2 linked regions of the Elephas maximus indicus genome follow. The protein of the gene in region 1 interacts with the protein of each later gene in a biochemical or structural test. Links are inferred from orthologs where the notes say so. Each region holds a gene or a part of one and is shown on either strand. Other genes may lie near its edges.

Region 1 (7,153 bases):
ACATATTCACTTTTTTCTTTAAATTTTATTTATTTTGTTGTTGTTGTTGAGAATATACACAACAAAACATACACCAATTCAACAGTTTCTACACGTACCATTTAGTGTCATTGATTACGTTATTGAGTTGTGCAACCATTCTCACCCTCCTTTTCTGAGTTGTTCCTCTCTCATTAACATAAACTCACTGCCTCTTAAGATTCCCATCCAACCTTTCAAGTTGCTGTTTTCAATTTGATCCAATATAGATAGTACATTTTTTTTTTCAAAACAGACCTTTTTACTAGTTAAGCTAAACTATGGCTCGTTTTTAAGGTGATTCGCTTTTAAGAAGTAGAATATGGCAAAAGTGATGAGTGAAATGATACGGCTGCTGGGAAAAACAGTTTCCTCAAAAAGTTAAACGTAGAACTACTATATTACCCAGTATCTCAAACCTAGGCGTATAACCAAAAGAACTGAAAGCAGGAATGCAAACAGAGACTTGTACACCAATGTTCATTTTAGCACTTTTCGCAATAGCCAAAAGGTGAAAACAACCGAAATGTCCATCAAAGGATGAATGGATAAACAAAATGTGGTACATACATACAATGGAATATTACCCAACCATTGTTTAAGAGAAATGAAGACCTGATACACGCTGCAACATGGATGGACATTGAAAACATCATGGTGATCGAAATAAGTCAGTGGTAAAAGGACAAATACTCTATGATCTCACTTATATGAAATAACCAAAGATTACTAGTGGCTACCAGGGATGGGAGGGAAGGAAAAAGGGAGAGTTTTTGCTTAGGGGGGCATTGAGTTTATGTCAATGGTGGTGGAATAATTTGGAAAAAAGGTAACGAGAATAGTTGCGCGACTTGAAGAATGTAATCAGTGTTACTGAATTGTACATGTATAATTTATTGAGTTGGTGTATGTTTTACTATGTATATTTTCACCACAATTAAAAAAAAAAGTGATGGGATGTCATTTCCGAAATTAGGTTTTAAAAGACTGCGGGCTTCCATTTTAGGGCCTCTCTGCTTCCCTCTCTCTCACCAGCAGCTTTGTTGTGAGGCAGGAAGCCTATGAAGAGTCACAAGGCACAAAGAACCATGCACTAGGATGCTCTTTGAATCCTTACATATAATAGCACAAAACGGAAACAATTCAAGTAGAGGGAGAGACAAATAAATTGGAGAGTTTATACAATGGAAATCCATACGATAATATTTTATAGTAATAGCATATTGGGTAAGTCATACAATAGTACTCAACAGTTAAAATGACGAGCTCAATCTACATGTATCAAAAATGCTGTATTTCAAAAGAAATTGACTAAAAAAATAAATTTCAAAATGATATATTTATTACGATGCCATTTATGTAAACTAAAACACACAAAACAATAGTGCATTTTGCTTACTCTTATGTACATATGGAGAAAAAGAAAAAAACAGACAAGTAAGGTGAATAGGACGAAATGGGGGCTTCAGCTATAACATCGCGTTTCAAAAAAAGAAGGACCTGAAGATCGGAAAAAAAATAAAATTTTTACATTACTGTATGTTTGAAATATTTTTAATAAAAGAAAATGTATATTCTCAAGCACAAAAATACATATACATTAAAAAAATTTTTTAGATCAGTTTAATTGTGCTGTTCAAACTTTCTAGATCCTTATTTATTTTTCCAGTCTATTAGATCTACGGAGACCCTGGTGGCGTAGTGGTTAAGTGCTACAGCTGCTAACCATAAGGGTCGGCAGTTTGAATTCGCCAGGCGCTCCTTGGAAACTCTATGGGGCGGTTTTACTCTGTCCTATAGGGTCACTATGAGTCGGAATGCACTCAACAGCACTGGGTTTGGTTTTTTTTTTTTTTTTTAATTAGATCTATCGCTCTGGTTAAAGAGATCAACTGCTAACTGAAAGGTTGGTGGTTCAAAACCACGGGCGGCTCCTCGGCTCCTCCTCGGGGAAAAAGACGTGGCAGTCTGCTTCTCTAGAGATTTACAGCACTGGAAACCCTCTGGGGTCGCTATGAGTCAGAATCAACTCCATGGCAGTGTTTATATATACATATACACTGTCACGGATTGAATTATGTCCCCCCAAAAATGTGTGTATCAATTTGGCTGGGCCATGATTTCCAGGACTGTGTGTTGTCCTCCATTTTGTGATTATAATTTTATGTTAAAGAGGATTAGGGTGGGATTGTAGCACCCTTTTTTTACCCAGGTCACATTACTGATCCAAAATAAAGGGAGTTTTCCTGGGGTGTACCCTGCACCACCTTTAATCTCTCAAGAGATAAAAAGGAAAGGGAAGTAAACAAAGAGTTGGGGCCCTCATGCCACCAAGAAAGCAGCACAGGGAGCAGAGTGCATCCTTTGGACCTGGGGTTCCTGGGCCTGAGAAGCTCCTCGACCAGGGGAAGATTGATGACAAGGAATCTTCCTCCAGAGCAGACATAGAGAGAAAGCAGTCCCCTCGAGCTGACGCCCTAAATTTGGACTTGGAACCTACTAGACTGTGAGAGAATGAATTTCTCTTTGTTAAAGCCACGCACTTGTGGTATTTCTGTTATGGCAGCACTAGAAGACATATACCTAAAAGGGGTGTGGTTAAATGTCCCATGATAACTGCAGATTTCCTGATCTCCTTATATTTCTAGCAGTAGTTGCTTCATATATTTTGAAACTACATTCTTGGCACAAAAATTTAGTGACTATCATATCTTCTTAGTGAACAAAACCTTTCTTCTTTTCAATGCTTTTTACTTTGATTTCTTTTTCTGATATTAACATTGCTACATGTCTCTCTTTTGTTTGCTTGCTTGCTTGCTTATTTTGTGCTAGTACATAACAAGTATATATTTTTCTTTCCTATTTCTGCCTTAAGAACCCTGGTGGCGGAATGGTTAAGCAGTCGGCTACTGAGGGAAAGGTCAGCAGTGGCTCTGCAGGAGAAAAGAGCTGGTGATCTGCTCCCGTAAAAACTAAAGAAGAGGAAATCCTATGAGGCGGTTCTACTCTGTCATATAGGGTCACTACTAGTTGGAATTGACTCAATGGCACACAGCAGTGAAAATTCCTGCCTTAGGTGAAACTCACAATAAACATCCTGTCCTTTTGTTTTCTTTTCACATGCTTTCTTGTTGCCCCTCCCATTTCTTGCCCTTGGTTAGGCTGAGTTTTTCTCTTTGTTCCATACATTATTTCCCTAATGGTTTGAAAGTTATACAGCCTATTTCTCTTCTGTTGTTATCCTTAAATTTTTTGTTTTTCTATTATGAATTTTATTTCCAGTAAGAACAAAACTTCGCTACCCTTGTGAACATAGGAATTCTTCACATTTGATGCAAATGTTAGAGGTTCATTATAAAGTGCAATTTCATAAAAAGAGTTCAGAGTTCAGTAATATTGAATAAATCCAAAAAGCAGAGCTACGGTGTTTTTTTTAACTGCAATACAATTACCAGAATGTGAACCCATGTTGTGCTTCACGATCATTTCTTTTGGATAGAGATGCTTGATTTTGTGATTAACAGCAACAGCTCTTTACAAGAGCTTCAATTTAAAAATGTAAGCTTCCTGGAACCTTAAATATAGTTTCACATTTTTAATAGTTCCAATTCAAACCATAACATAGACCGTAGGATAACCCATTGCCATTGATGTCGAGTGGATTCCTACTCATAGCCACCCCACTGGAAAAAGCACAACTGCCCCAAAGCGTTTCCACAGCTGAAATCTTCAAGGAAGAGGTTGCCACACCTCCCGCAGAGTGCTGGTGGGTTCGAACTGTCGACCTTTCTGTTACAGCTGAGTGCTTAACCACTGCGACACCAGGGATCCTTCGACCATAGAATATGATATATTAATATGATTGCGTTCACATTGGAATGAATCAGAAACAATCTGAAAATTTTATCTTGTTAAAAAAAAAAAAGGGAACAGGGCTAAATGCTTAACATTTTAGAAATCTGGATTTTTACATTTTTCGCTGTCTGTATCTTTGACGATTCTTCATTTAAAATGAAATAATGCCTGCAGGCTCACCCCGATTTGTCCAGGGCTGCTGCGGCCCCCGCCACATCAAGGGGGCGGGCTCCAGTCAACGCCACAATCACTTCCGCCGCCTCAGCCGCCGCCGCCGCCACCGCCACCACCGCCGCCGCCGCTGCCGCCACCGCCACCACCGCTGCCGCAGCACGTCCCCGCTGCTGTCTGGCGGGTTGGAGCTGGAGACCCAGGAGCAGCGGCTCTGGCGGTCGTGGCGGTCGGAGGTGCGACAGCTCTGTTGCCCCGAAGATCTTGCGGGTGTCCGGACTGGGTGAGTAAAGGGCTATCTATGTCCTCGGTCCATCTACAGGCTGGCAGTAGGTGAGTGGCCAGCCATGGGGGCGAGTGGCTGGGCGCCGAGGCGAGGATTTTGGGGGGTTCTAGCGAGCGGGTTTTCAGGTTCGCCCCCTCGGGAAGGGGTGGGGCGGACGCGGGACCTGACTGCAGAGTGAGGCCTGTGTCCTCCATCAGCCTGTTCAGGGGCTCCATCTTGCATTTCTCATCCCTGGTGGCGTAGCCTCCGCTCGAATGGCTCTAATCGATATTTGAGAGGGGGGGTGGTGGTCTCTGCCCTCTCCCACTTCTCTCCTTCGCGTCCTCTGTTTCCTCTCCTCCATCCCTTTGCAGAATACCCCATGGCCTGTCTTCCTCCATTTGCCTGTTGTTTTGCGAAATGGTAAATGGTTAAGATTGTTTTTAGGTAAAAAATATCTTTCTCAGGGAAGGAACTGTCAGAAGAAAAAAAATATTCCCAGGGAAAAACTATAGCCAGCCCTTTTCTCCCCGCCCCCCCACCCCCAATTCCCTGCCGTTTGAGCTGATAACGTTTTCCTCTCGTTTCCCGTTATGACATTGCTGGCCCCCTTCTCCTCCCCATTTCGAGCTGCTGCATACGCACACAGAAATCTTCCATTGCAGCCCCTTTCCCCTTTATACTCTAGGTTCCAGCGCTTTCCCTCTCCTGCACATGCGTAGGGGTGTGTGTGTGTGTGTGTGTGTGTGTGTGTGTGTACACACACTTATATGCATGTATTTGTGTAATACGTATACATACACCCACGCACTCTCTCTCTCTGTCTCATACACACACTCTCTCCCCCCACTTCCAGCCCCTCACTGCCTGCCACATACACACCTCCAGGACCTCCTCTCTTTGCATCTGTGTGCTCTAGCAAACACACACACACACACACTCACTCTCTCTCTCCCTCCTCCTCCCTCCTTCCCTCCCTCTCCCTCTCTCCCTCCCTCTCCCTCTCTCTCTCTCTCTTACCCGCACACACCCTCTCCTCTCCGCGGCTGCCACATACGCACATGAGACACCTGTCTATTGCTGGCTCTTCTTTTGGATGCCCCTTACATACATATACTCTCACACACACCTTTCACACAACCCCCTCAAGTGCTCTCCTCTCCTGTTCCCTTGTCTCCCACATTTGTGCGTAGACATCCCTCATCTGCTGGTCCTCACGGGTGCACACACTCACACTTACATAAATCTTTCTCTAGGGACACCACCCCCCTCCCTGCTTGCTATAGTCACACAAACAGACATTCTTTGTTGTCCTTGTTCCACTCATCACACACACTTCCCCTCTCCAGGGCCACCCCTTGCCTGCTGCATTTGCTCGCACTGATGTTTCTCCATTGCTGCCTCCCATTTTGACAAACACTCACACAAACTCATCGACACCACCTCCAGTACTACCGTACCCTTCCTTGCCTGCCACATACACTGGAACACACGCATCCCCCCATACATATCCACCTGCCACACATGCAGCTACACACACACACACCCACACACTCTTTTTTCTCTCGTACTTACACAGACCCCTCTTCTCTGAAGCCACCCCACCCATGCCTGTCATTTTCACACCCACATCCAGAGTGAGTATTATTCTGTCTGACACTCACATCCCTTCCCAGTGCATCTGTTGCCTGCCCCTCCTCACTGCAGACAGACATCCATCCCTTCATGGTGGGATTGCTGGCCCACCTTCCACCTGCCCCTTTCCTCCTGACAGGCACGTACACACATACTCGTGCACGTGCACACACAGTGATCCATATCTTCCACTCTATTCCAATTCGCATTTCTCCTATATGTCTGCAGGGTCAAAAAAATGCAGGCACCCCATAAAAAATAAACAAAACAATAACCATAGCGGTCTTTCTTCTGCCCACATTGGTACAGTTCCACAGTATTTCACCCGCCTTCCAAATGTCCAGTCTCCCCCACCTTCTGTCGATTCTCTTTTTAAGTCTGGCTTTCCTACAAACGCAGTTTTGTAATCATTTTGCCAACATTAAAAATGTGTTCCAGGTCTACACACCTGACAGTCACTGGAATGCTACTCCAGGCCTTAGAAGAAAGTGAAACTAATTTTAAAGGCCCCGTATTCTTTCTGTTACCTGCCTGCTGAAGTGAAAATAAATCTCCTTGCTCCTTTTATTCTGAACTGATTTGACTGTCCCATCTCAAAAGCGTGTGCAAGGAGCAGCAGGACCCACGCGCCAGCTGTACTGGAAACCTTCCTAAGTCAGAGCAATGGGTCAGGAATCTAGCAAGCCTGTATGGCCCAAACCAGCAGGAGGGTATCAGTCCAATACAGGCAGGAGATATGGAAGAAGGCATGCTTATGTCAGTTTCAGGCCATCCGCGAGCCAGCAGGAAAGAATTTCCAGCCAGAGAAAGACGGCATCTGAAGTCCCGATGCCCGGATCAGCCCCCAGTCAAATCACCAAGAGAAGCCGATCACCATTTTCTGCCACTCATCGTAGCTGGGATGACAGTGAGAGCTCAGGAAGCAGCCTGAATGTTGATAATGAGGACTATTCCAGATATCTGCCAAGAGAGTACAGGGCTTCAGGTGGCAGAAGAGGAATGGCTTATGGACATATTGACTCCTTTGGGGCTGATGATAGTGAGGAGGAGGGGGCTGGGCCTGTTGAGCGACCACCAGGAAGAGGGGAAACTGGAAAGTTTAAAGATGATAAGCTGTATGACTCAGAGAAAGGGGCAAGGTCTTTGGCTGGGCAGCCACCACAGTTGTCTAGTTTTAACCATGATGTGAGAGAGGAGATTAACGAGTTA
Region 2 (6,978 bases), on another chromosome or scaffold:
GAGAAGCTCCTGGTCCAGGGGATGATTAATGACAAGGACCTTCCTCTAGAGCCGACAGAGAAGGCCTTCCCTTGGAGCTGAGGCCCTGAATTCGGACTTCTAGCCTATTAAGACTGTAAGAGAATAGATTTCTCTTTGTTAAAGCCATCTACTTGTGGTATTTCTACTATAGCAGCACTAGATAACTAAGACAGTTATCAAGGGTACAAAAAGACACGAAGGAAACTTAAATGCATATTGCTAAAAGAAGCCAGTCTGAAAAAGCTACGTACAGTATGACTCTAATTATATGATATTCTGGAAAAGGCAAAACGAAAGAGACAGATCAATGGTTGCCAGGAGTTGGGGGGTGAGGGGTAGAGGAGAGATGAACAGGAGGACCACAGGGCATTTTTAGGGCAGTGAAACTATTTATATGATACTGTAATGGGGGACACATGACATGATGCATTTGTCTAAACCTATAGGACTATACAACACAAAGAGTGAAACTTGATAACTATGGACTTTAGTTAATAATAATGTGTCAATATTGGTTAATCAGTTCTAAAAATTGTACCACAGGAATGGAAGATGTTAATAATAAGAGAAACTGCAGGGCAGGAAGGGTGTATGAGGGAACGCTGTTCTTTCTGCACACTTTCTCCATAAACTTAAAAAAGTATGCTTAAAAAAAAAAACACTATGTGCTAGATGTTCTCCTCAAAACAACCTTGTGTGCTAAATATCATCTCGTCATATAGATGATGTCAGTATTAAAAAAACAATAACAGGTTTAAAATAGCCCCACACACACAAAAAAGAAAGTCTAAGAAGAGGCTTCCAACCAAATGGCTGTAGTGCTTGGAAATGCCCTGTCTCATCAAAATCCACCTCCCCACGCCTTCCACCAGACAAGGAATGCACTGTTGCTGCTTAATTAAAATATTCTTCCAAGAGGGATAAATATTAGGTAGTCTATCATGTGGTCTAATCCAGGAAGATCTTTGTTAGGACCCAGTAGATACAATCAAGAGAGATTTTATTGCCAACCATTAAAATATACGCATGGGAGAGGGGGCCTGGAGGCCCTAGGTAGTGCAGACAGTTAAGTGCTCATTTACTAGCCGAAAACTTGGCAGTTCTAACCCACCCAGAGGTGCCACGGAAGACAGGCCTGGGTGATCTACTTAGGAAAGGTCACAGCCTTGAAAACCTTATAGAGCAGTTCTATGCTGCATACACGGGGTTGCCATGAGTGGAATTGACTAGATGGCTTCTAACAACAACAACAGTAATAGTATGAAGGCCAGAAGCATGGAGCGTTTGAGTATTTTTTAACACTTGTCTTTATATTTCACTGCCTGAACAGGAAACCACAAACGCCCTATCAGATCACCCTGAAGGTACATGACTGGTATGCCATGATGTCACTGGGAAGTTAAGCTTCATTAAAAATATATTTCTCATTTATCTCCCAAGCAAAAAAATCACGATTGAATTTTATTTTTAAAATAACTTTAACAGCACCTTGATATACACATCTGTGTTCTTCCAGACGTTTTTCTGATTTGCGTTTCACTGCAGTAGACATCTTTCTATGTACAGTATTGTGCAGTCATCAAATATTTCCCTTAACATGACTCCCAGAAGGGAGCCAATCATTACAGACAACTCTGCCAGGGCCTGTGAGAGGTGCTTCAAAAACCCATTTCACTTAATGACCTGAACCCAGCATTATTACTCTCATTTGGTTGACATGGAAGCTGAAACTTGGGGTGTCCGTAGCCTTCCAGTGTCATACAGGCTTTTAATCTAGGTCCATCTGATTCCAAAACCTTAACTTTTTCAACGACATCATGTCTATATTCTCTCTACATCAACATATGGTTCATAAGATCAGTCTCTGGAGGCAGACATCCTAATCCTAAGTTCAGATCCCACATCTACCGCTTATTTGCTGTGCGACCTTAAGACAGTGCTGAATCTTCTCTGTGCCTCAGTTTCTTCATCTGAGTGAAGAGGAAGGTAACAAATGCAGACCTCATTGGGTTGTGGAGATTAAAAGAATACACGTAAATCACCTGGAACAGGGTTTGACCGTATTATACCTTTTTACAATCATTAGTTATCGTCATGTACATTACTGTGTTTTCATTGCCATCATCACCACCACAGTCTCTCCCCAAATACCCATGGCCTTCAGTAATTATCTGAGGTGAGGTGAGGATGTCTTCTCTCTGCAGTGCCTGAAATCCTATTTTGTCACCTGCATTTTTCTGGAATGCAGCCCTGATGATGAAGTGGTTAAGCGCTTGGCTGCTGAAAGGTCACTGGTTTATACCCACCAGGCACTCTGCAGAACAAAGATAAGACAGTCTGTTTCCATAAAGATTAAACCAAAAAACCAAACCAAACCCACTGCCATCAAGTCGATTCCGACTCATAGTGACCTTATAGGACAGTGTAGAACTGCCCCATGGGGTTTCTATAAAGATTACAGCCTTGGAAACTCTATGTGGCAGTTCTGCTCTGTCCCATAAAAAAAAAAAAAAAAAGTTGGAATTGCCTCGATGGCAATGGTTTTGGTCTTGGTATTTTTCTGGAAGAAGGGTAGAGGTGTTTTAAGACTTAGAAGTAGTGTCTTTTCTCAGCCATTCTGAGCAATGACCATGTGCTATCTGAGGAAGAGGTCACTGAAGGGCAGTGCTAATGTTCACAGAGTCATGGGGGAGCCTGAGAGCTGGGGCTGCTTGGGAATTTAAACGAATACCTTATCAAGAACAAACTCCGAAGAGCTAGCCCAGCTGTCGACAGTGGCTTTCATCTTTTTATTTTCCATTTCTCCTTTATCTTTTGGTTGCTGAAATTTTTTACTCAGGATACAGCTGATCCTTGTGGAGAGACATTCTGTAGAATTCTAGATTATAGGAGACTCCTTTGAACTTGAGTCTGAATTTTAATTTGCAAAGAAACTTTGAAGCAGATGCATTTTCTCATTGTAAAAAAAAAAAAAAAAAAGACTGCTTGATGATCTGTTTTTCTTAGTAGGCGTCCCTCCCTAAGATTGATTCTTGGGGATATGTTGCTGGATCTTGTGTGGAACAGAAAGTTATTACTAGTAGCTTACCAGACTTGTAGCATATTTGCATCACAACGTGGAATATCATTTTACATTTAGTATTGCAATTCCAATGCCTTTATCAGATTGCATTTTCATATTGGATTACAAAAATTTCATACTACTAACATTTAATGAAATTTTAATAAGGTGGTGTTTTGATATTATTATTCAAATAGTCTGTTCTGAATTGCTTTCCTTTGAATATATCTGCATTAAAGAGGAACTCAACGTGATTTGGTTCTTCACAGAATTTACCCACTTTGTAGAGTAGCTTTAAAAACGCCAAAAGGGAAATTCAGTTTCTTCCTCACAAGTCCATAAATAAAGAAGGAACACACTGCTAAGATCTATATAAGTAATGGGGGCATAATTGCTGGTTCAAGTTAATGAAATGGCTCTTTTTTGGCTATTAAAGAGTTGCACAATTAAAATATATACACACAGCACACACATCATAGATTATGAGGGATGATACCCCTGGGTTCTCTTTTCTTTCTCATTGAGCCTGAAGGCTGATATATTTATTTTTCAGAAATTTAAGAGATTTACATTATCGCATTTCTTGATCAGTGATGCCCAAAATTAAATGGTAATCTCCAGACAGAGTATGTTTCTCCGTAGTATCCTTCTTACCCATTTCTGCTAAAATTGTCCTTGCGGTCCCAAGGCAGTTTACATGAACGTGTGCCTTCCAAAAGATAAACTCAGCTGACCAAGCAAAAAAATTGCACTGAACAGGTTTTGTGTAGTGGTTTTGTCATAATTGTCTAGCTGACGTAATTTAACATAGAGAACACTGAAAGAGAGAAAAGAAGGAAAAATTCCTACTTTCGAGGAAACCCTTCTTTTACCGAACACTTGTTCTTAATCGACTCTTAGGGACATTAGAGAAGGAAACTAGCGGTAATAGTTCAACAGAAGCCGTCACCCTGGAGTTGATTCCAACTCTTAGCGACCCTATAGGACAGAGAACAGCCCCATGGGGTTTCCAAGGAGCGGCTGGTGGATTCCAACCGCCGGTAACCCACTGCCATCGAGTCGATTCCGACTCAGAGGAGGGAGTGGCGAGGTCAGAGCCTCCCTGAGGCAAATCAGAAGCCCTCAGGCTCGCTCACTCTTTTTGCGCCTCCCTGTAGAAATACATGTCTTTCCTCTACCTTTCACCGAGCCCTGGTGGCGCAGTGGCAAAGCGCTCGGCTGCTAACCAGAGATGGGCGGTTGGAATGCAGCAGCCGCTTCTCTGAAACCCTATAGGGCAGTTCTACTCTGTTCTGTAGGGTCGCTATGAGGCAGAATGGGCAGGGTCTCAGCGGGTTTGGTTGCCTTTCACGGCCTTACCTTCCCCTTCACCTCGATTTTCGCCTACATTGATCCTTTGGGTTCCCTCCTTTCACAAATATTCCCGACTTTAAAGTTCTTAATTTTTCTAGAGAGCCTGTTAAATTTGCCTGGACCTGTTTGGTCCTGAATTCAGCAGCACACTTGTTTAGGACTTTCGGTCCTGTTCTCTATTTGTGTTGTTCGGTAAGGACGGACAACAAGTTTAAGTCTAGTAACCGCCACCGCTCCCGCCCGCAGACAGCCCGCGGCTGCGCAGAAACCGCCGCCGCCGGCCCGCGGACGTCCGGGACGCAGTGCGCAGACTCCGCCGACTCGACGCAGCGCTCCGCCCCCGGACCCGCCCACCGGCGCAGGGCTCCGCCCCGGGCCCGCCCACCGACGCAGCGCTCCGCCCTCGGCCCCGCCCAGTCTCGCCCCGAGGCGGATAACGCCGACCCACAATGCCCCGCGCACGCGCGCTGGGATCCCGCCGCCGCCGGTCGCTGGAGCTTTGCTAGCGGCCAGTGTCCGAGCCGGCGTCCGGCCTCAGTAGCCAGATAGCATGTTGCAGAAGTCGAGGGTCCGGGGACGCCCTGGGGCCCCGACGGAGCGGGAGCGGGAGGGCGGCCGCGGCGGAGACAGCCGGCGCCCGCGGGGCGGCGCGGCCGACGAGGCCCCGAGCACCTCCCGCGGGCCGGGCGGCTCGCAGGAGGCCCCCGGCACCGGGTCCCCGGGCGCCCGCTCGGCCCTGGCCGCCCCCGCCGTGGGGCCCAGGTCCCAGAAGCAGCTGGAGGTGAAGGTGGCCGAGCTGGTGCAGTTCTTGCTGATTAAGGACCAGAAGAAGATGCCGGTCAAGCGGACCGAGCTCCTGAGACACGTCGTGGGGGACTACAAGGACGTCTTCCCCGACCTGCTCAGGCTCGCCGCCCAGCGCCTCGAGTACGTCTTCGGGTACAGGCTGGTGGAGCTGGAGCCCAAGAGCAGCACGTACGTCCTGGTCAACACCCTGGAGCCGGTGGAGGAGGACGCGGAGGTGAGAGGGGACCAGGGCACGCCCGGCGCCGGCCTGCTGATGATCGTCTTGGGGCTCATCTTCATGAGGGGCCACACCATCAAGGAGACGGAGGTCTGGGACTTCCTGCGGCGCCTAGGGGTGCACCCCACCAAGAGGCATTCGGTGTTCGGGGACCCGAAGAAGCTCATCACCGAGGACTTTGTGCGCCAGCGTTACCTGGAGTACCGACGGTTACCCCACACTGATCCTGTGGACTATGAATTGCAGTGGGGCCCGCGCACCAACCTGGAAACTACCAAGATGAAAGTCCTTAAGTTTGTGGCCAAAATCCATAACCAAGACCCCAAGGACTGGCCCGTGCAGTACTGTGAGGCTTTGGCAGACGAGGCGGCCAGGGCCAGACCTCAGCCCGGTGTCCCAGCCCCCTCCTCGTGAAGTCCCAGGTAGACTCAGAGGGACTCCTGGGAGGAGGATCCGAGGCCGAAGAGGTGGGGGTGGGAAATAGTTCTGTGACGCTTGACTAGCTTGCGAAGATGTGTTCGTGTTTATTTTGCTAAATTACTTGGTTCCAAATCTACATGTGTAAGGAATTGCTTTGCTTTGTTGTATAGTCTATATTTTTTTGATATAAGAAAATGTTACTACTTCGTAAAACTGATCGTAACATTTCGTGCCCTGTTCTGAAACATATGTAAGAAAAAACACATCAGTAAATTGCTTTGGTGCCAAGTAAAAAACCACAGAGGTATTCTCTGGCCTCTTTACCCCAGTTTGAAGGGAAAAATAAAAAGTCATTATAAATTAAAGTGTAATTGCCTGTATTGTTGTTACCTTAACACAGTCATTGTATTTTTATATGTTTTACGTATTTAAGCATTTTTGGTGGTTCCAAGGAATATATCTTCAGTATTTTCTCTGAAAATATTTATCTTTCTGTATAATATTCATAGTAATTATCTAGCTGGGTTGCTGACAGTTAAGTTCCACTTAGATTTTATCCTTTTTTTCTTTTTCGCTATTACTGTTACTGTAATAAACACTATTTTTGAAGCAGTTAAGCAGTGTGTGTTTTTTTAATCATGTGTCGTGAGAAATTCATTTTGGCTGGAAACCAGCATCTTAAATAGAAATGAAAAAGACAGTTTGTGCTACATACAGTAACATGAGTAGAGTTTTACAGACCTTTCACTTTAATGTGTGTAAATGTGCATCACACTTTTCACTGTGGGTCACAGAAGACTTTGTGAAACTGTAGTGATTGACCAGGCCTGACCAGGAATCAGCCTGCTTGGGTTCAAATCCTGGCCCCCACCTCTAACTAACTGTAAAAGCTTAGATGGGTTACTTAACCTGGGTATAGGTGTTTCCTCACCTGTAAAATGAGGCTGATGTTGGATATATCATGTGTGATAATTAGATGTGACACACTGCCTGCCGTGGAGGATTTTGGCTGTTATTCCTTAAATTTTTTGAAAATTTGTGTTTTGTTCTTGGTCTGGAGCTGTGGTGGTGCAGTGGTTAAGAGCTCAGCTGCTAAGCA

Evidence for each region. The genes of interacting proteins can lie anywhere in the genome.
Region 2: the proteins of PJA1 (region 1) and NSMCE3 form a complex in vitro, tested with the Homo sapiens proteins (2 studies listed by BioGRID). The link is inferred for Elephas maximus indicus from reciprocal best matches to the Homo sapiens genes PJA1 and NSMCE3.

What each region holds. Positions count from the first base shown.
Region 1 is NC_064846.1:101,442,630-101,449,782, forward strand, and holds the start of PJA1 (E3 ubiquitin-protein ligase Praja-1), read left to right. Parts: upstream 1-4,132; 5' UTR 4,133-4,327; intron 4,328-6,382; 5' UTR 6,383-6,607; coding exon 6,608-7,153. UniProt on the Homo sapiens protein: Has E2-dependent E3 ubiquitin-protein ligase activity. Ubiquitinates MAGED1 antigen leading to its subsequent degradation by proteasome. May be involved in protein sorting.
Region 2 is NC_064831.1:94,936,004-94,942,981, forward strand, and holds NSMCE3 (non-structural maintenance of chromosomes element 3 homolog), read left to right. Parts: upstream 1-4,863; 5' UTR 4,864-4,985; coding exon 4,986-5,873; 3' UTR 5,874-6,466; downstream 6,467-6,978. UniProt on the Homo sapiens protein: Component of the SMC5-SMC6 complex, a complex involved in repair of DNA double-strand breaks by homologous recombination. The complex may promote sister chromatid homologous recombination by recruiting the SMC1-SMC3 cohesin complex to double-strand breaks.